Linked DNA regions of Pelodiscus sinensis. The protein of the gene in region 1 purifies or fractionates together with the protein of each later gene. This does not show direct contact. Links are inferred from orthologs where the notes say so. Each region holds a gene or a part of one and is shown in the gene's direction. Other genes may lie near its edges.

Evidence for each region.
Region 2: the proteins of MAP3K5 (region 1) and MAP2K3 purify together in Homo sapiens (co-immunoprecipitation; 4 studies listed by BioGRID and IntAct, with this or other methods). This does not show direct contact. The link is inferred for Pelodiscus sinensis from reciprocal best matches to the Homo sapiens genes MAP3K5 and MAP2K3.

Annotation. Positions count from the first base shown.
Region 1 is NC_134713.1:97,631,400-97,640,599, reverse strand, and holds the start of MAP3K5 (mitogen-activated protein kinase kinase kinase 5), read left to right. Parts: upstream 1-5,057; 5' UTR 5,058-5,607; coding exon 5,608-6,019; intron 6,020-9,200. UniProt on the Homo sapiens protein: Serine/threonine kinase which acts as an essential component of the MAP kinase signal transduction pathway. Plays an important role in the cascades of cellular responses evoked by changes in the environment.
Region 2 is NC_134726.1:32,412,730-32,422,872, reverse strand, and holds the start of MAP2K3 (dual specificity mitogen-activated protein kinase kinase 3), read left to right. Parts: upstream 1-6,087; 5' UTR 6,088-6,116; coding exon 6,117-6,144; intron 6,145-6,210; exon of another isoform or gene 6,211-6,593; coding exon 6,594-6,712; intron 6,713-7,122; exon of another isoform or gene 7,123-9,579; coding exon of another isoform or gene 9,580-9,595; intron 9,596-10,143. UniProt on the Homo sapiens protein: Dual specificity kinase. Is activated by cytokines and environmental stress in vivo. Catalyzes the concomitant phosphorylation of a threonine and a tyrosine residue in the MAP kinase p38.

The DNA of each region.
Region 1 (9,200 bases):
TAGACTTCAATAGGTTTTGGACCAGGCCACTGTTTAGATGCCCCTAGCCTGTCCATTTCTCTGCCTGTCTTCATCCTGACCATAGTCTTAAACCCCAGATCATACAAAATGGTTTCCACAAGTCCAGATGATTTCACTGTGCCCCATTTTCCTGTGAAATAAAAAGATCTGTTTGTACATCTCAGAAGCATGATCAACCTCTAGATCTGGGGTGGGCAATGATTTTTGATAGGGAGCCATTCAAAAGATTTTGGTAAGTGGTCAAGGGCCACATTTTTCTATAGCAGGGATGCAGAGTCTGGGACAGAGGTTGGGTGCAGAAGGGAGGTTGGGGTAGGGGACTGGGTTACAGGAGAGGGGTCTGGAAGGGAGTTTGAGTGGAGTAGGGGGTTGTGACTTGGGACAAGAGATTGGGGTGCAGAGCCTAGGAGGTGGTAAGGGTGCAGGAGAGGATTCTGACCTGGGGAGGGATGTTTGAGGGGATGTAGGGTCTGGGAGGGAGTTGTGGTCTGGTGGAGGGAAGTGCAGAGGGTTTGGATGGTGACCTGGGGCAGGAGGGCATGGTGACCTGGGGCAGCATGGAGGGGTGGGGTACCAGATGCCGCCTCCAGAGGGAGGCACTTACCTAGGTGGCTCCCAGCCAGTAGCCCAGAGGGACCCTCAGGGTCTATGTCTAGAGTGTAGGCTTCTTTTAGACGAAGCTTTTCCGGAAGAGATCTTCCAGAAAAACTTCTTTCGAAAGAGAGCATCCACACAGCAAAAGCGCATTGAAAAAACGATCTGCTTTTTCAAAAGATAGCGTCCACATTCATTGGACGCTATCTCGCATTTAAGTTGTGATTACTATGGACGGAATGGTCATCTGGGCACCTATGCTTTTTCCTGGATGCCTCTTCTTTCTAAAAAACGAACAAACCCCTCTTCCCCATCCACACATGCTTTTTTCTGAAAGCTCTTTCACAAAAAGGCTGCTTCCTCATAGAAAGAGGTTTACCACTGTCAGAAAAACTCCTGCGTTCTTTTGACTTTCTCTTGAAAGAACACAATTGCAGTGTGGACATAAGTGTAGTCAAAACGGCTGGCTGTTCCATGTGCCTCTCTGTGCCATGCATTGGGGAGGGAAGAGACTTTGCACACTGTCCCCACTCCCAGCACAATCATCTCAGCTTCCATTGCCCCCTCTCCTTGCACTTTGAAACGAAACATATTACTCAATATCAAACCAAGTAAAGCAAAAAGTACTTTTCAACAGAAAGAGGAGATATAAAACTAGTAAAAAACACTCCCGCTTTCCTCTTCCCAATCTGTGAAAAGATGTGTATATCAAGAACTGGTTCCTTAGCTATCTAAAAGTCAACAAAAGCTTTTGCTTAACTTCAGGAAGCACAGCCACTAACAAGCATGTTTTATATAGAAATACCTAAAACAGATTCAGCAGTATTTCAACAATGAAAACAAGTAAACCAACCAACCAAAAACAAAACAACCAAAAAAGCCCAAAACAAAAAACACCCTAATGAGAAATTACCAGAAGGTGGCAGGCATGTTCCATCTAGAAATTAAGGTTCCAATTTCCCGGGACAAACTCCCAAGCAACATTGAAAGATTTGCTCAGGATCACAAAGTAGCTTGATGATGCCCCATGCTATTTACCACAACCCCACAGGTTCATTGCCCAACTATGTAGCATTTAGCCCTTAGAAAAATGGCTAGCTGCCAGGTTTATTGCAAGAAAAGCAGGTAGGAATCTCTAATCCAAAGAGATAACTTCCAGCAGCAAGGGAAGTGAAATACTTTGAACTACAGTCTCTGCTGTGATCTGATAGTGTTTTTTTGATCAGAACTGATGTGAGTTGGCTGGCAGCATATGTCAAGTGGGATTAGAGAGGAAGGTGAGGTTAGACTCCTGGATTCAATTCCTGGCTCTATATTTCATCACAGACTTCCCCTGTGATTTTTGAACAAATCAGTTAATCTCCCTGGGCCTAGATTCTCCATCTGTAAAATGGGGAGAATAGTAAAGCTGGGTTCAGTAACTTTCCATGTGATCAGCAGATCTCTTTCAGGGATTTTCCTTTAGCTCAGTGTCACATTATTGGGTTTTAATGTGAGTAGGCAGACAGTTACTGTACACACTGGTGTGTGTTTGCCCCAAATTGGGTACAAAGTGGGCCATGTGAGATGTCAAAGGAAAGCTTATGCTATGCAGGTTCTGTTTAAGCTACTCATGTACTTGTACAACCTGTGTGTGTGTGTGAAGGTATGAATATTAGCTTTAACCAGCCAGCCAAACCGGGTCTTCAGCTATTTTGTGCTGACAGAGATTGCTGCTAAATCTGTCCCCAAACATTTATAATGCATTCACTGTCTTTCTAACACACCAGATAGTTTTCAAAACTGTTAATGTTTAAAAACTCTGTTTCATACTTGTGTTGTCTGCTCTTTGTATGTATCCCTTCCTGGAGGGTGAGTGTGGATTAGTCAGTTTCAGACTCTGTTTCTGGTCAGTTTCATGTCTTGTTGTCCATGGACTAGAAATTCAGCAGTGTTGAAGGCTGCAGGCAAGGCTCAGGGTATATCTACACTACAGAGTTTTTTCGTAAAAACGGTAGTTTTTCTGAAAAAAAAACCCCTTCACTTATGTCCACACTGCAATCAAATTCTTTTGAAAAAAAATTGAAAAAACAGAGGGATTTTTTGACATCGGTACACCTCTTTCTACTCCCCAGCTGACCCCAGTCTCCACTGCCCATTTGAAAGGCACAGAGGTGGTGTTTCAAAGGGGCAGCTGCGTCTCAGCTGAGCTGGGAATCAGCTGTGCGGTGGCTGCCCCTTAGAAATGCCACCTCCATGTGTTTCAAAGGTGCAGTGGAGCCGGGGGTCAGCTGGGAACTCCCCAGCTGATCTCGGCTCCGCAGGGCATTTCCCCTGAGCCCAGGATCAGCTGACCAGGTTCTTCCCAGATGACCCCGGAGCCTGGGGAAATGCTGTGTGGAGCCCGGGATTCGTCTCTGTGCACATTTCAAAGGGGCAGCCTTGGGGTCTGGGGTCAGCTGGGGATTCTTCAGCTGATCTTGGGCTCTGTGCAGAATTTCCCCAGACCCCGGGTTCTGCTGCCGCGGGGAGCCCAGGATAAGCTGGGAGCCCCCAGCTGACCCCAGATTCTGCTGCCACACAGAGCCCAGAATCAGCTGGGCAGTCCCCAGCTGGCCCCGGGCTCCATGACTGCCCCTTTGAAATGCCACATTGGGGTTTCAAAGCGGCAGCGCCGCACAGCTACGTGGTGCTGCCACTTTGAAGAACCCCCTCCCCTCTATCTTATGGAGGCATCAAAGGGGGGAAATTGACTTGCTTATCGGATAGTCGACTAGTCTTTAACGTCCCTACCGGAGATCAGCTGCGCACTCCAGCTGATCCTGGGCTCCGCCTTGAGCTGCCCCTTGGAAACGCTGCCCCGACGCTTCAAAGGGGAAGTGCTGCATAGAGCCCAGGGTCAGCTGGGGACTCTAGCTGATCCTCCATGCAGTGCTGCCCTGTTGAAATGCCGCAGCGGCGTTTCAAAGAGGAGGCACATACGATTAATCGTGATTTTTACATATATACACTTGTATGGACAGTGAAAAACTGCTACAAGTGAAAAGTATTATTGGCACTTGCATGTTAGTTGTTGACTTTTTGCTGTGCATTCAGTGTGAACAAGGAAAGAAGATTAATTAGTTTAACTTTCTGATATAGTCAGGTTCTCTTACACTGGATTCTCTCTATGCTTCAAAGTTTACAGACTAGAAAGATGGAGGGAAATGCATACCTTCAGATAAAAATGCACTTCTCTAAGGTGTCTTCTTTGATTTAAACTGTATTTCTATTAGCTTATTGTAGAACTTTTTTAACCACTAAACTTGTGAGACCTAGCTGTCTGCCTCTTTAAGCAAGTCTCAAAAAAATTACTATATTTTTAAGCTTGTTTTCATGATTCAGTTAGAGAGAATTTACAAGAAAAGGATTAAGGTGAATACAAAGGTATATATGGAGGGGAGGGAAATGTCTGTCTTGGGAGACAGCGTGAGTCAACAGAGTTTCTGAGGTGTCAGCTAGTTCCTTAGCTTTTTCAAAGCTGAAAGGAATAGTAGTTCCAGATGATACACACAGCACGGGATATTTGGAAACCTCTTTGCTTGTAAGGGTCAATATTCAAGCAGTAAATGTTGATTTTACTGTTCACAAACACACCCTGAAAAAAATTGTCATCCATTCTGACAAAATTTACAGCTAGATAACATAAGAAAAATATTGCTTGAGAATGTTACTTTGTATATTGTGATATGTGAGTTTGACAATATGGGTTTTCATGATTATAAGTTTTCACTTTTTGAATGTCATCATATACTATACTATATATATTTTTGTTAGACTCTAAGGCTATGTGTACACTGCCGGGTACTTGTGCAAGAACGGCCATTCTTGTGCAGAGAGTCCACACTGCCTGCCCGCTCTTGCGCAAGAAGATTTACAGTGAAGCTTGGGAGGAGAGGGCTTCTTGCACAAGAGCTATGCTCTTTTCTAACAAATGTAAGCCCTCTTGTGCAAGAGCTTTTGCGCCAGAGGGCAGTATGGATGCACGGCCGGGGTTTCTTGCGCAAAAAAACCCTATGGCTAAAATGGCCATCAGAGCTTTCTTGCGGAAGAGAGCATCCACACTGCCATGGACACTCTTGCGCAAAAAGCATATGGCAGTGTGGACGTGTTCTTGCACAAGAGTTCTTGCCAAGAACCTGCCAGTGTAGGTATAAGGTGCTGCAGGATCATTCGTTGTTTTTTAATCATTTTCTAGTATTAAATAATTATTGGCTGACCTCCCTCCCATACATTTCCTAAAATTTACATTGATAAATATAAAACTAACCATTGATAGCGTCCACTGCATTTGATTTTTTGTTAATACTCGCATTGAGACGCTAAGATCTCTTGAGGAGCCACCCCCACGCAGCTAACCTAACGGAGCCGCCTACAAGAGAGCAGCAGAGGGCGCCGTGCAGGGAAAAAGCGAATCAACAGCTGGTAGGAGCCATAGAGGGAGCCAGCGTCGCGCACCAAGCCTGAGCGAAAGTTTGGCGCGGCCAGAGCCGCCGCGAGCGCAGGAATGCAGCCAGGCCCAGGGGCGGGACTAAGGGAGGAGCCGGGCGGCTACTGGCAGGGCTGCTGCTCTGTGGGTGCAGCCATCCAAGCTGGATGAAGCGGCGAGGCTGAGGAGCGGCGATCCCACAAGTGGTTTGGCGGCTGGTCGGAGCGGCGGGAGGCAGGCGAAGGAAGAGCGAGTGCGAGGGGCTGCGGGAAGAGGCTGTGCCCTGCAGCGCGCTCGCCAGGTGGCCGCTGCCCCGCAGGTGAAGCCAGCCCCGCGCGATGGTGCCCTTGGCGGGCGCCCCAGGAGACTGCGCTGCCCTCCCGGCTCGGCTCGAGCTCGGCAGCCGCTGAGTGGGGGTCGCTTGCTGCCTGTAGGAGCCGGCGGCGGGCAGGGACGGGGCAGGGCGAGCGCGGCGGGCGGCGCGGCATGGCAGCGCCGTAGCCCCGGCGGCACCAGCAGAGCCCAGGGCACGGCGCCCCGCAGGGATGAGCGACAGCAGCGAGGGCATCAGCTTCTCGGTGCCCAGCCCGCCGGGCAGCGCCTGCCCCCACGAAGACGGGCTCAGCCGGAGAGCGGCGCCGGGGGCAGACGGGGGCGCCCGGAGCCTCCTGTCCGCGCCGCCAGCCGGCACCTACTGGAACGAGGACAGCGGCGCTGCTTGCCCTGCGGGGACAGGGACAGGAGGCCGGGTTAAGGGCGGCAGCACCCGGAGGACCACGGTGTCCTACGTGATCAACGAGGAGAGCCAGGGGCTGCTGCTGGTGGCGGCGGCGGAGAGCGGGGCCCTGCAGAGCCTGCGGGAGGCGTGCGAGGCTGTCGGGGCCTCCCTGGAGACCGTGCACTTCGCTGAGCTGGACTTCGGAGAGACCACGGTGCTGGACCGCTTCTACAACGCAGGTGAGCGACCCCACAGCCTCTCGCTCGGCTTCCTTCCCCTGCCTGGCTCCTTGCCTCCCACCCAGGGGCGCTCTTCACAACAGCTGGGCAGTGGCGGTGGGGGTTGTCACCCTAGGATCTGTTTTGCTGGGTGTGACATTCTGGGGTGCAATCTGTCATCCCTGCCCAAGGGTAGACGGAAGCTAATCTATATAGTCCATAGAGACACAGGTTTGTTCCTGCTGCTGTAGTGTGTCAGTTACTTCCTCTTTTGTTCATATGTCAGTGGCACTTTGTTGGGATGACATGCTGTGCAAAGGTTACTACTCATGTAAGCAAAAGACAAGCAGCTTCCCCTGGACTCCCTTTCCCTTGATAGAGGTAGGCATATCTCTCTCAGATTAGGGTTACACACTGTGCTTGAGGTTCCATTTTTCTGGACCATCCATCATTACCAGAAAATGGAACCTCAAACACAGGGTCAGGCCCACTTTTTCCTCTCAGATGTTTTCTGTGATTCTTGACACTTTGAAGAAATAGGTTTCTTGCACTTCTTGGTAGTTGGGACATTGGGGTAGAAGGTGTGTATCTGTCTCAGTCTCTGCCATACAGTGTTAGTTGCGCCTCTCATTTTAGCGCTTGTCTCCCAATTTTCTCAGTCCTCATTGATTCTGTATTAGGTGAGTCTCTCTCTTAATTTTGCAGATTCCACTGAGGTGGAGTCAACAGGGCTCTGGATGTGACTAAGGATGGGAGTACATCTGCCTGATATAACTACATGATGAGGGCCTAACATAAAATTTAGAATGCTACAAGTCTTTTCTAGTTGTTGTTGTTCTTTTATTGAGCTGTAAAATGGCAGTATAGTTTAAAACAGATTCTTAGACACTCTTGTGGTTTGTCCCATGTCTTGACAAAGAGGCTATTTCTTGGACTACAGCCCCTTCCATTGGTATTTAGGTAATATCCCTCAGACAACTACATTGTTTACATGGAAAAAAGGAGCAGCTAAAATACATTAGTTTCCTTTAATGTTATTTGGGGGGAAAGAAGGAACTAATTCTAAAAGGAACTAATTCTAGCTCTGCCCGCACCACCAGGTAGCACTTTTTGGAGCTCTGGTTGTCTTGCTACAGAGCTCAGTTTGGGAACCACCATTTTCAAATATACATATACAGGCAGTCCCCAGGTTACATGGATCCGACTTACATCGTATCCCTACTTACAAACGGGGTGAGGCAACCCCGCACTAGCTGCTTCCCCCCAGCAGACCACGGAGACGCGGAGCGGCTTTTCTCAGCAGACACCTCAGCTTGAGAATAAAGGACTGAGGGAAGTGAGGTATGGGAGAATAAAACTGAGCTCTGGAGAAATGTTTGGCTAGAGTTTCCCCTACAATATGTACCAGTTCCGACTTACATACAAATTCAACTTAAGAACAAACCTCCAGTCCCTATCTTGTACGTAACCCGGGGACTGCCTGTAGTGTTTTTTTTCCCCTCTCTCACTGTACTGAGCTCTTGCAGTTCCCATTTACTTCCGCTTGATTTCAGCACTTTTGAAAATAAAGTCCAATGTGAATATTTCAACATCTTCTTTATGTGGACCCAAAACTTGGGATAGTCTTCATATGTTTGGAAGAGACTGTGTCATATATCAATTGGATAAACTATTTAAGACAGCTGGGATTAAACAGAACTATGTATACGGAGTGTAACAGTTGCCAAGAAAGTCTCTGAATTCTGTCCTCTATCCTGATTTACATAGTTTCAAGTTTGCTACTGGGACCATGTTTGACTTGCTGGCAGTGTATTCACTAAGTTACTTGGCTGCAGTCAGTCTGGCAAGGCCACAGAGCCTGAGAGCTTCATGTTATCAAATAGGTAAGGTAAATGGGAGGGGCGTTGGGGAAGGGAAATAGCAATGGCCTATCAGATTTGTAAAGACTTTATAGAACCAGAATGATCATATTAAATGCTCTTTACAAAAGGAGAGAGAGAATTTGGAGCTAAGTTTTGACCAGATCTGTATGTGTTTGGAACACATTAGTTAAAATGTTTAAAATAACTTTTTCTTATTATTTGTAAAAATGCAGTATTAGAGAGCCTAATCCGAACTACCTACTCCGTGCCGCGTGTAGCCACGGGCACGGAGTCCGCACTAACGGGGATTTAAAAATGGCGGCGCCCGGCAAGATGCAAATGAAGCCCGGGATATTTAAATCCCGGGCTTCATTTGCAACTTCAGATGCCTACATTAACCATCCTAGTTCAAACTAGGGTGGTAGTGTAGACATACCCGTACATCCCTAGTAGGGCTATCAATAGACTCCTGTGTTTATGGCTCTACTGTGGTATATTCATTTTCCCTTCAGCTACATGTGCCTGCATCAAGGTTTTAAATTCAGATTATATTAGGTTTGGCATCAGAAGCTCAAGGAACGAACTCTTTTGATGGGAGACCAGACTTTACCATGAGCTCCTTTTGTTCTGGCAGTTAGAACTCTGACATAATAGCATAATTGCACGCTTAGGTAATGCTTTTTTTGCTTGCTTAAGTGGCTTTTGAGCAAAGCTGTGTAAATATAAAGACATTGCTTTTCTTTCTTTGCCATAATTTACACAAATTTAATAAAAGTATTGTGAATTTTACCATGGCATTCTGCCTCTATATAGCTGCAAAGCCAAATACTGTCCATGGGGACATGCATCTCTAACCTGCTTTATTTTTAAGATCTAGCTTTAAAAAAACTCCTTAGGTTTACTAACTCAGTTAATAGGTGCTTGTTGTCTATAAGTACGTATGAAAAATAGGAATGGGAGAGCACAAGTGAGCTCCTAGGTAATTCTCTGCTCAAATCCCATCCCCTGCATCCTCGTAGAATGGTATCTCTGAACCATTCTGTAGTTCACCGTCTTCTGTATCAGCTTCTTAATCAGCACCGTAACTAGGTATTTTTGCACCCAGGGCAAAATATTAATTATGCACCCCCTCTCCTTATGTTAGCATGCATCACACTCTTCACCTTTGCAGCTGCTTATTTTTACTTTTAGTGCTCCTGATTATGATGCTCCTGGGGCGAGTTCCCCACTTGCTCCGCCTTTGTTACCGCCCTGCTCTGGATGCAAGATGTCTTATAATTTGAAATTCCACCCACTTCTGGCTTGTGGGAAAGGCTCTTTGTTTTTTTTACTTTACTCAC
Region 2 (10,143 bases), on another chromosome or scaffold:
ACTCCGGCCTGAAGACCTTCATTTGCAATGAGGTCTAGGGTGACCAATTATGACTTGTGGTAATTTCTCTTAGTGTATTCAGTTTAGCTGGAATGTTTTGTTTGTTTTAGCTTAGTAATTTACTTTGATCTGTCTGTTATCATGTGCAGCCACTTAAATCCTACATTTTATACTTACTACCATCACTTTTGTTTATTATTAAACACAGTGTAAAGAATTGTTACTGAGGAGGAGGGAGCACAACAGCTGTGCATATCTCTCATTCATTGATTGGGGGGGGACTTTATAAGCTTACCATGTATAAAAGTTTTATACAGAAAAAGATGGATTTGTTTGAGGTTTTGGTCCCATTGGGGCTGTGCTTCTGGGTGCTGTCAAGTCCTTGTAACTGAGCCTCCTCCCAGAGCTGGGCTGTTCTCAGGGTCTATGTTACTCTGCTGTTACCCCCAACTCCGTGTCTTTGCTGGGGGAGACCAGAGCTTCTGGCTTAGCGGGACAGGGTGGTGGCGGTGCCCCAGAGGGTAGGTAGGCAGGCTCAGTGGTATGATCAGCCCATCAGGTGCCAATCTCAAGGGGATGTCTGTGATCTAACCCATCGGGTAGCTTGGACACTGAGAATGTTACCAGTGCACTGGGGTCTTCCTGGTAGTGCAGATGGACCACACCAGTAGCTCAGACAGGTATTACCTGCTCCACACATCTTGATGAGGCATTAACTCTGAAGCCTAAAGCAGGCAATTTCAATTTAAACATCAGTATTGTGAACTACGTTACTGCTGGTCACATTGAGCGAATGTGTTTATCCCACAACCCGGTGCTCCTTCCCAGTCCCTAAAACTCCAGCTGCATCTGCCAAAATCCCCAGGTTTCCCCTGACTTCCAGCCCCTGCCTTGCGGTCAGTACTGTCCCATGATCTGTTTATACTGAAAACTGGGAGTGTGGGCACAGCATAGCATTGGTGAGGCTATCCAGACCTCTTACTCAGAGATGACTGTATTTTCACATTGGAATCGCTTGAATTAAATAGCTTCAGGGGGTAGCCGAGTTAGTCTGTTACAGAAAAAAACAACAAATGGTCTGGTCACTGCTGCAGAACTTTGCATCCGTCACACTAGCGTGCAACAGAATCCACGGATTGAGGTGCATCTTGCCAGAGCACATAAGACTTCAAGTGTGACGTGTGGATTGTTGCATTTATTTTGCATGGGGGCATACTTGGGCCCTCAGGGGCATGAATGTTGCATCCTGTACAGAGAAAACTAGCTGCCTCATTTACACAAGTACCCTCCTTTTTTTTTTCCCCCTTTATAATACACCCCTACCTCGGTAACTTCCACTCCAGTGTATCTGATGAAGTGGATTTTACCCTTGAAATCTTATGCCCTAATACATCTGTTAGCGTCTAAGGTGCCAGAGGACTTCTTGTTGTTGCAGCTGCCTTGTAGTCTGTATGCAGCGTTAAGTGCCTATTAGATTGTTAGAAGCCTAGTGCAGCAGTACATTTTGTAACACTGGGGATTGTCTGGAGCTGAGAATCCCCTCTCTGACTGCTATTTGGGAGGCACTGCATTTTTATTGGAGGGTAGAAAGATGTTGAGAGGTTCTGTTAAACACAGGCCCCCTTTCCATAAGTGGAACAGGTTTTTTGTTTTGTTTTTTTATTACCCATTTCTGTGTAGTTATGGGTTCTGAACGCAGCCAGCTCTGAGTAGGTATAGACGTGGAAACTGAATTTTCAGCTATGCAATCTCTAAAAGTGACCTTGCAATTTTGATAGTCTTTTAATTTCAAGGTCTTTATCCCATCTGGAGTTTGGGTCTGTGTTGTGGCTTATTCTCTTGCTCGACCCTGCTTGATGGTTTAATCCTTCCCCATATAATCAACTCCTCCGTGTATGGTGATAGCAACCAGCACCTCCAGGCTTAGACACCGTTGTGCTAGGCCCTATACAAACCTAGCATGAAAAGATGGCCCTGTCAAGTTAGTCTAAAAAAATTCCTGTGTTTGGACATAGAACTGGATGAAATTTTGGTCAAAAATGCAGATCTGGGTCAACCAAAAATTTCATGAATCTGTCAGATTTGACCAGTTGAAAATGGGGTTGGGGAAAGGGAGGAGAAATCAATTTTGACTTTTTTTTAAACAAAACCTTTTGATTTGTTTGTTTTAAACAGTTTATTTGTTTTGAAGAATAATTGTTTTATTTAAAAAAGTAAAGAAAAAACAGCCCCTCCCTCTTCCCGTTAGTCAAAAAATGTTTTAGATTGAAATAATTGTTTAGTTTGACACCAACAGAGTTAGTTACTTTTAACGTTTTGGTTAGTGAACTGAAATATTGGCTACCTGCACCACTGGTGCTGGTAGATCTGTTTAGCATTACTTGATGTTTCTTCTTTTAAGGGACTCTTAATCAGTGTTCCCTCTAACCTTGTCCATCCATGGGCAGAATATTTTTTTTTTTTAATCTGTGCTGAGGCTCGTGCCTATGTGCATCACCAGTAGAAACAAAACCTAGCAGTGGGTGCTCTGCCAATCAGCTGTGTGGCTTTTGAGTGGCAACACAAGTGCCCAGCTTACAGGGAACACTGCTCTTAATTAAAGGATGTCAATATGTCGTTGACTATTGGATTAACTGAGAAGCCTAGGCTTATCAGTTAATTAATCTTGTTGACTACATGCATTCACCCTCCCCCCCCTTGCTGCCTCTGTATAAGAGGCAGCAAGGTGGGGAGCCAGTGCTAGGGGGGAGCCAGCTTAAAAGCTGGTTCCTCCCCAGTTCTGCATTGCTGCCTGCCCCCACCCCCTGCACTACCACTTCTGTCAGAGGCAGCAAGGGGAAGGGCAGGGGAGGTTGCCACAAAGCAGCCTCTGTCCATGGTGGGCCAAAGTCCACATCCCACGGAGCAGCCTCTGTCTGCAGTGAGCCTGGGCCCGCTGTGGGCAGAGGCTGCTTTGTGGTAGCAGTTCCTGTCCGCGGAGGGGCCAACCTAAGACCCCTCCCCCTCCACGGACGGTGCTGTTGCCACTCCGTGCTGCTGCCTCTCTATTAAGAGCGCGGTGCAGCAGGCAGCCGGTCTGCATGGGGAGCTGGCTTTTAAACTGGCTCCCCTCGGAGACTAACTCCCTCTGCCACCCTGTGCTGCTGCCTCTGATACAGACAGCAGTGCAGGGCCGCAGGGGGCTCCCTGGGAGTGGGTCTGGGAGCACACTGGCTGCCGGCCCTGCCACTGAGGACTATTGAATAATTGTGGAACTGCTAAGATTTCATGTGATTACACGATTGATTATTCAGTTATCTGCTATCTAGGATCCCTGCTCTTAATGTGTTTCCCTCCCAAACATTTAAGGGGTGGAAAAGGCACCCTTCTTACCATGCTAAAGTTGTTGGTGTTAAGGGGCTAACCATTACTACTCTTTCTGAGTCTTTCCAAAGCCTCTGCATCGTCCACATGTGTCTTCAATTATCCTTGATTAGGTATGAACCCTGTCTCAGTATTTCCAGAGGCATATTTGCTTGCAGTTATTTAGAAGGGATTGGTGGTGGAACAGGCCATTGTTGGGGGAGAAAGCTCTGTTTTAGATCACTACTGTGTTTAGAGTGTGCTCTTCCACTTATTGAGCGTTGACAATGTACACGAGGTAGCGTGGACTTTGACAGCCAAGAAGGCTGCAGTCTTGTCTACTGGTTAGAGCTGACTGGCAGGATGGCAACACCTTTTAACCCACCCGTGCCACAGTTTACCCATCTGAGAAATGTTGGATGCCTTACTCGCTCATGTGTTGGACATCACATGGCTTAAGTAACATTAAAAAACTTTAAAATACCTTTTGTTCCAGGGCCTAACTGCAGAGCAGTAAATGTTGGATGATGCATGTCAAGTTACTTTGCATCCTTTGTAGTGTAGGAGTCTGCAGAGCATTCAATCCTTTAGACTGGTAGTTTGTGACAATAGTATCCGTCTCACTAACTAAAGCATTGACTGAGACTCTTCTCAAGTTCTTCTCATTCACTAAGGTTGAAATTTTCTCAGCTTCATCCGGGCATTAGAAAGTAGATCCGGAGCGTCTGCCCATTGGCTCATAACACAAAACCAAGAGGACATTTAGTGAAATTGGATGTGTGAAATTCAAAGTGATTAAAAAAAATGCTTTTCACACTGGATGTAAACAGACAGTGGAATTCATTGCACAGGAAATTAAGGCCAAGAATTTGATAAGCTTCAAAGATGGATGGAACGATTACATGGTGTAAGAGAATGAGAGTTATAATGGTTATGGCTCAACGTTTGGGAAGGGATTCTAAACCCCATGCTTCAGGCTCATGTGAGTCTCCATGTCAGATTAGGATGAGCTCACGTGTGAAAGGCAGGTTATACCACATCTTCCTCTGGAATCCTCCACTGCAGGCCGATGTCAAAGACAAGACTGGATTAGATGGATCTCTGGTTGCATCCAGTTTGGCTGCTCCTGTTTTAAGAAACTTTAGAAATCTCAGCTCGAATCTATAGCCAGGGGATTTAACACTCTTCCACTCACCCCCCCACACACCTGACGAGAAAAAATCCTCTTTGGTCTTTCTGGGTTGGGGTTGCGGGTCCTTTTTTTGGGTTGAGGGTGCTGACCTATAGAAAAATCAGTTAGGGGCCACACATGAGTGAGAAGCGCGCAAACCACACCCCCAAAAAAACAACCTCTCACTGACATTGCCCCGACTGAGAAGGAGACAGACACTCCCTCTCCCTCCCCCATTCCTCTCACACACCAGAGGCTAGGGTGGCCTAGCCTACTAGATTTTGTGTGTTCCAGCTCTGTGGAGGGAGGGGGGAGCAGGAAGGGGGTTGGAGTGGCAGCACAGGTTCCCCAATGCAGGGGGGAGGAGCTGAGCCTCAGGGGTCGGATCTAGGCAAGCCGGGGGCCACATGCAGCCCTCAGGCCTCAAGTTCCCCACTCCTGCTATAAATGCTGCTTAAAATTAGAGCAATCTTGTTAAGCATGTAGAGTTGTCTCCATCTCTGACCTTTCTTCCTTTTGGTGCACATGGTCCAGCATTGTCCGCACAACTAGCGAACATTTCATGAGTGACTGAGGCACATCTTTCTATTCCTAGTGTAAGGTAAAGAAGGAACTTAGTGCACTCCCTTTCCCAGGCTGACTCATGGTGGAAACCAATAAAAGTTTGAATCAGGCACGTAAGTACGGGAACCGGAGTTGGCTTTGGTCAGTCTGGTTTGAGGGACCGGAGAGAATAAACATGTTTCGGCACCTGTTTTACATACAGGGGTGTAAAAATACTGCAGCTCCTGCTACCTCCGCCCCTTCCTTTATAGGCACTGTGATTTTTTTTTTTTTTTTTTATTTCTTTCTGCGATGCCACCCCCGAGGTCCTCCTTGTCGTCCTGGTATTGTAATGGAACAACGTTTCCACTATTTGTTGTAGTAATAGTTGTCAGAAGCACAGTAATTTGACTGTCACCTGCTCTATAAATAAATGCAAGCATCTTTCTCTCAGCGGACACGCACCCTGACCATAATCAGTGGTGTTGAAGTTGGCTTCCTTCAACATAACTACTGCAGGACTTGGTGCACCTTCCTCTTATTAATTTTAAACAAGATCTACAAGATCTTTGAGTCTTCTTCCCGCCCCCTCCACTGCATTGTTATTCATGGCAATCATTTGCTGTTCTTCGCTGCAGAAGCTGGCACTTGCCTGCTCCAAAAAGATTTAGTTTTATTGTTGACACAGTGTGGGCAAGATTGCAAGCTCTGGTAGGTAGGGTTGCCAGATGGTTGGAACAAAAATACCGAACTCTTCTCCCCCCCCCTCCAAAAAAAAACACCGAGAAAAAATTATGGGGGGGGGGGGGGGACCAAAGTTGTTGAGCAAAAAAAAAATGATTCCAAGACCATTTTGTGCCTTGCAGAACCAGATAAGCATGGGGGCTGGGGGTGTTTGGAACCGGGGAGGGTGGGGGGGAAGCAAGTTGCTTCTCAGTTTAAATCTCTGTGGTAGTCACAGAGATAGGATCACTGCTGGGGTTACCAGGTAGTCATTTAAAAAAACAAAAAAAAAAACCCAGACACTTCATGGGGGGAGGAGCAGGAAGTGGGAGGAGCAATGGGACTGGCTGAGGGAGATGCAGGAGGTGACGGGAAGCAGGGCTGGTTGGTGGTGGGGGGGGTCGGGCAGAATGGGGCTGGCCGCAGAATATTGGGGGGGGGGCGGTGGGGCAGAGCTGGCTGGGGGAGCTGAGGAGGAGGGGAAAACTGCACTTCTATGGCCTCCGTAACTGGCTCCCGTCCAGTTTCCTGTTTGACATCATGTGCTATTTCACGGCTGCAGCTTTTACAACTGCTCTCAAGTGTAATCTGAGCTGAAACGGGCCAACTTCAGCAGCTGCCTGTGGAGGAACTCTGTATGCTGCCATGTCTCTCTTTTCCTCTCGCGCACTCTTTTGCTGCGAAACTTAGAATGATCTAATTGCATCTAGTCCGTGCATGGGGTGTGGAGGGCAGGAAAGAGAGATCGGTGGAAAGGGCTGTTGAATACTTTGTACCATGCGTGCTTTTTTAAAATAAGCGGTACTCTTTGCAGCAAACGCTGTGGATCTTGCAGACATCCCCCCCCCGCTCGCTCCCTTCCACCAACTGCTTCAAGGCGTGCCGTTTCTGTTCTTCATTTCTGGGAATTGGAAACCATGGACAAGAAACAAGGTATATGTTGCAATTTCCAAAACACGTATCTGGGAGATCTAAAGAGCCATTCAAATGGCGAAAGGGGTTGTGGAACTTTTGTTATGTCATTCCGTGTGGTTTTGCTTTGTGTCCTTGCTCGGAGGGGCTCTCTATTTGTGGCCAGGTAGCTATTTTGAAAGCTAATGGAAACTTGCATGCATTGGGTTGCAATACCGGGTGTAGGTGCACAGGCCGGCATGAGGACAGAAAAATCTGCAGCTAAGCTTGTCTTTTTTCCCTCTTTTAAGAATTTGCCAAACACAACTCTGTGTGTGTTTTTGCACAAGTCCTGTTGCACTACAGTTGAGTGCCCAACTTGGAGCCTGCTGCTGTTCAGAGCTGAGATTCAGCATAGGTTAACAGGTGACTTTTTTTTTTTTTGGTCTGCAGTCGGCTCTGACTGGAAGGGGCTTTTTATGAACTGCTTTTTTCCTCCTCCTGGTTCACTGCTTGTGCCTTGTTTTCAACTTCTGCAAAAATGCAACAAAGCCAGCTTCTCATAGGAAATGCCCGGGGAGGGGGGGGGGGTGACCGACTCCACTCAGTGTTCTTTTTCCACTGCTTGGATTGCTCTCTTCAGGCTGCAGCATGGTGCAAATATTGCCCTGGCTTCTCTGCAGGGAGGCAACTCTTGTGTCTTTGCTTCACCTGGGCTTGAATAAAGACATTAAATGGATGTCCCATGATAATGCCAGACTTCCACACATTTAACGCCTCATTTACATCCAAAGTAAGTATGGAACACTCCCCGCCCACTCAGTCTCATTAGCACCGGCACTACAATTGACTGGTACCCCTCCCCCTTTCTTCTATTATAAATGCTGAGTTCCTGTCCCCCTCATCTGAAGTGGGTTTTGCCCATGAAAGCTCATGATACAATCTACGTATTTTGTTAGGTGCTGCTAGACGATTCATTGGTTTTTTTTAAAAGTTTTTACTATATACTTTGTTAGTCTCTAAGGTGCTACTCGTCTTTATGTGAGGAGATTGTCACCTGATCTGTTATCTTGCCTTTAAAGCAGACTGTTATCTTACTGTTCCTCCGTGGCTTGGATGGAACAGCGGGTTTCCCATCTAGCCACCTCCTTCTTTTGTGTGGTTTTTTTTTTTTTTTTTTTTTTTCATGCCCAAATCAGCAATCTGACAGAACAGAACGTGTTGGATGCAAAACCAAACCCTCTCGAGGTATCACTAACTTCCTTTCCCCCACCCTCAAGCCACCAGTCTTGTTAATGCTTCAGTTCTCTTCCCGGTTCCCCGTGTATGGTAGGGTTCTGTAGTGCTGCTGTCTTTCCTCTGCGCCGTGTCTGGGGCTGGCACATGGGAGTACAGAGGCTGTGAGGCAGCAAAGGTAGCATTTCAAAGGTCAGCTCAGTCAAATAGCTTTATTTACAGTTCTTAAGATTTTCCCTGCTCGGTTCCACCCACGTCAGCCCGTTGGGAGAGGTACCACACATACACGGAGGTCAAATTAAACCGCTCCAGGAAACACAGTTGTGGGCAGGGAGGATGTTAACTTTATCAAGGTTATGACAGGAGAAATTCAGTCAGTGACTTTTTCTAGGAAGGGAAATAGTTCCCCTCTCAGCATAAAGGGTGCAGAGATGCCGCTTTGGTGACGTACTGGGGACTGGAATTCTTTTTTACACAAGGAATTTGTGACCACTTTTCTCCTATACTGTTGCGACTAGTGGTAGGTCTACTCAGAGCAGCGTTCAAGGACATGGTCGTCAGCATGCCCGTTCCTTATTTGCAATGATGGTTTTCTGTCGGTAGCATCAGAGAACACTTTACTGGTGGTCCCTAAGGCAGCAGGTAATGAGGGCCTGGCTGCTGGACAGTTTCTCTGGAGCTGGCAGAATTAGATGAGGCTCACGAACCTTTTGAGCTCTGCTTCCCTGAAATCACATCACTCTCAGTGTGTCTAAACTACATCCCTCTGTCGAAAGAGGGATGTAAATTGGGCAAATCAAAAGTGCAAATGAAGCAGAGATTTAAATATCCCACGCTTCATTTGCATAATTGCATCACAGCGCTTTTTAGAAAAAGGGTATTTCTAAAGTGATACTGGAATTTGATGACCTCTTACTGTCATGTGATTCAGCTTGTTGCAACGGGGCAGCATTTTGAAAGCAATACGATGACACTCTGATGATGCAACACAGTGATGCTCTGTTGCAACGTGATGTTTTGCAGCACCGTGACCATGTTCTGACACGGTTCAGCTCCCTTTTTGCCTCGTCCCAGTGCCGCTTTGATGCTCAGCAGCAGTGTTTTGCTGAGAGGCAGCCGTGTTTGGGGATTATGCCTAGCACTTTTGGACGTGGCACGGTCACATTTTGCTGCAACGTGGTACTGATCTGCCATAGTGGACGGGCCAGGAGGGGGGGAGTTGACTTGTCTTAGGCCACGTTTTCGCATGGCACGTGGCCACTGTTGCACCAGGCTGGCTACGGTGCAATGTGCTAGCTGATCTTGCCCCCTTGGACCAGCCTCCCTGTGGTGGATGAGTGACTATCTGGGGTCAGGAACCGGGTCCTTTGTGGAATTTTGGGTAGAATTTTCGGGTCCCCGCCCCTCAGCCTCCAGTCTGGAGGTCAGCACCCTGTGGCTCAGGAGGGCGTGGCTACGGCGACAACGCCCCCTTCCCTGCAGGGACCCAATAGCGATCGAGTTCCAGCTGCGGAGGCGTGGCTGTCTGCGCTCCGCCCAGCTGCTTGCCTCATCAGTCCCGGGCTGAGTTTCTTGCTGTGCGCCAGCCGGGGACATGCTCCAGCCCCCGGCCTCCGCCAGCGCCTAACCCCGCTCAGCGCAGCAACCGGCCCGCGCCAGCCCCGAGACCAGCCATGTCCCTCCCCAGAGGTAGGAGAGCTGGGGGGAGGGCGGTTTCTCTCCAGCTGCAGCCCCTCGCCGGGTTACGGGCTGTGGGTCTCCCGGGGGTCCCCCCTGCCCTGTGCTCTGCTTCTGGGTTACAGCCTGGGGGCGGGCTCCCCTTTGTGGATTCCCCTTCCTGGTTACGGGATTCTCCTGCCCTCATTGCGGGTGATGGGCTGGGGGTCCCCCCATGCGTTGCTCATGGGGGGCTCCCTTGCCGTGCAGAGTTGTGTCTGGGGGTTCTCCTTGCAGTTCCCCTTACAGGTGGCTGCAGACCTTCCTGGAGCCAGCTTCCTGGGCTGGGTATAGTCTGTCTTTCACCCGCTGCCCCATCTGCATTCATTGTAGAGCCGAGGCGCCCTGCCAGCCTGCTCTCTGGTTCTCCTCCTTCCTTACAGGGCTGCCCAGCCTGCGGCCGGTTCACCTAAACTCCTCTCCCCACCTCCTCATCCCCTGTAACTGCATGGTGTTTATATTGGCTCTGCTCCAAAGCTCCTGGATTGACTACACTGCAGCCAGTGGTGCGGGGTGTGGAT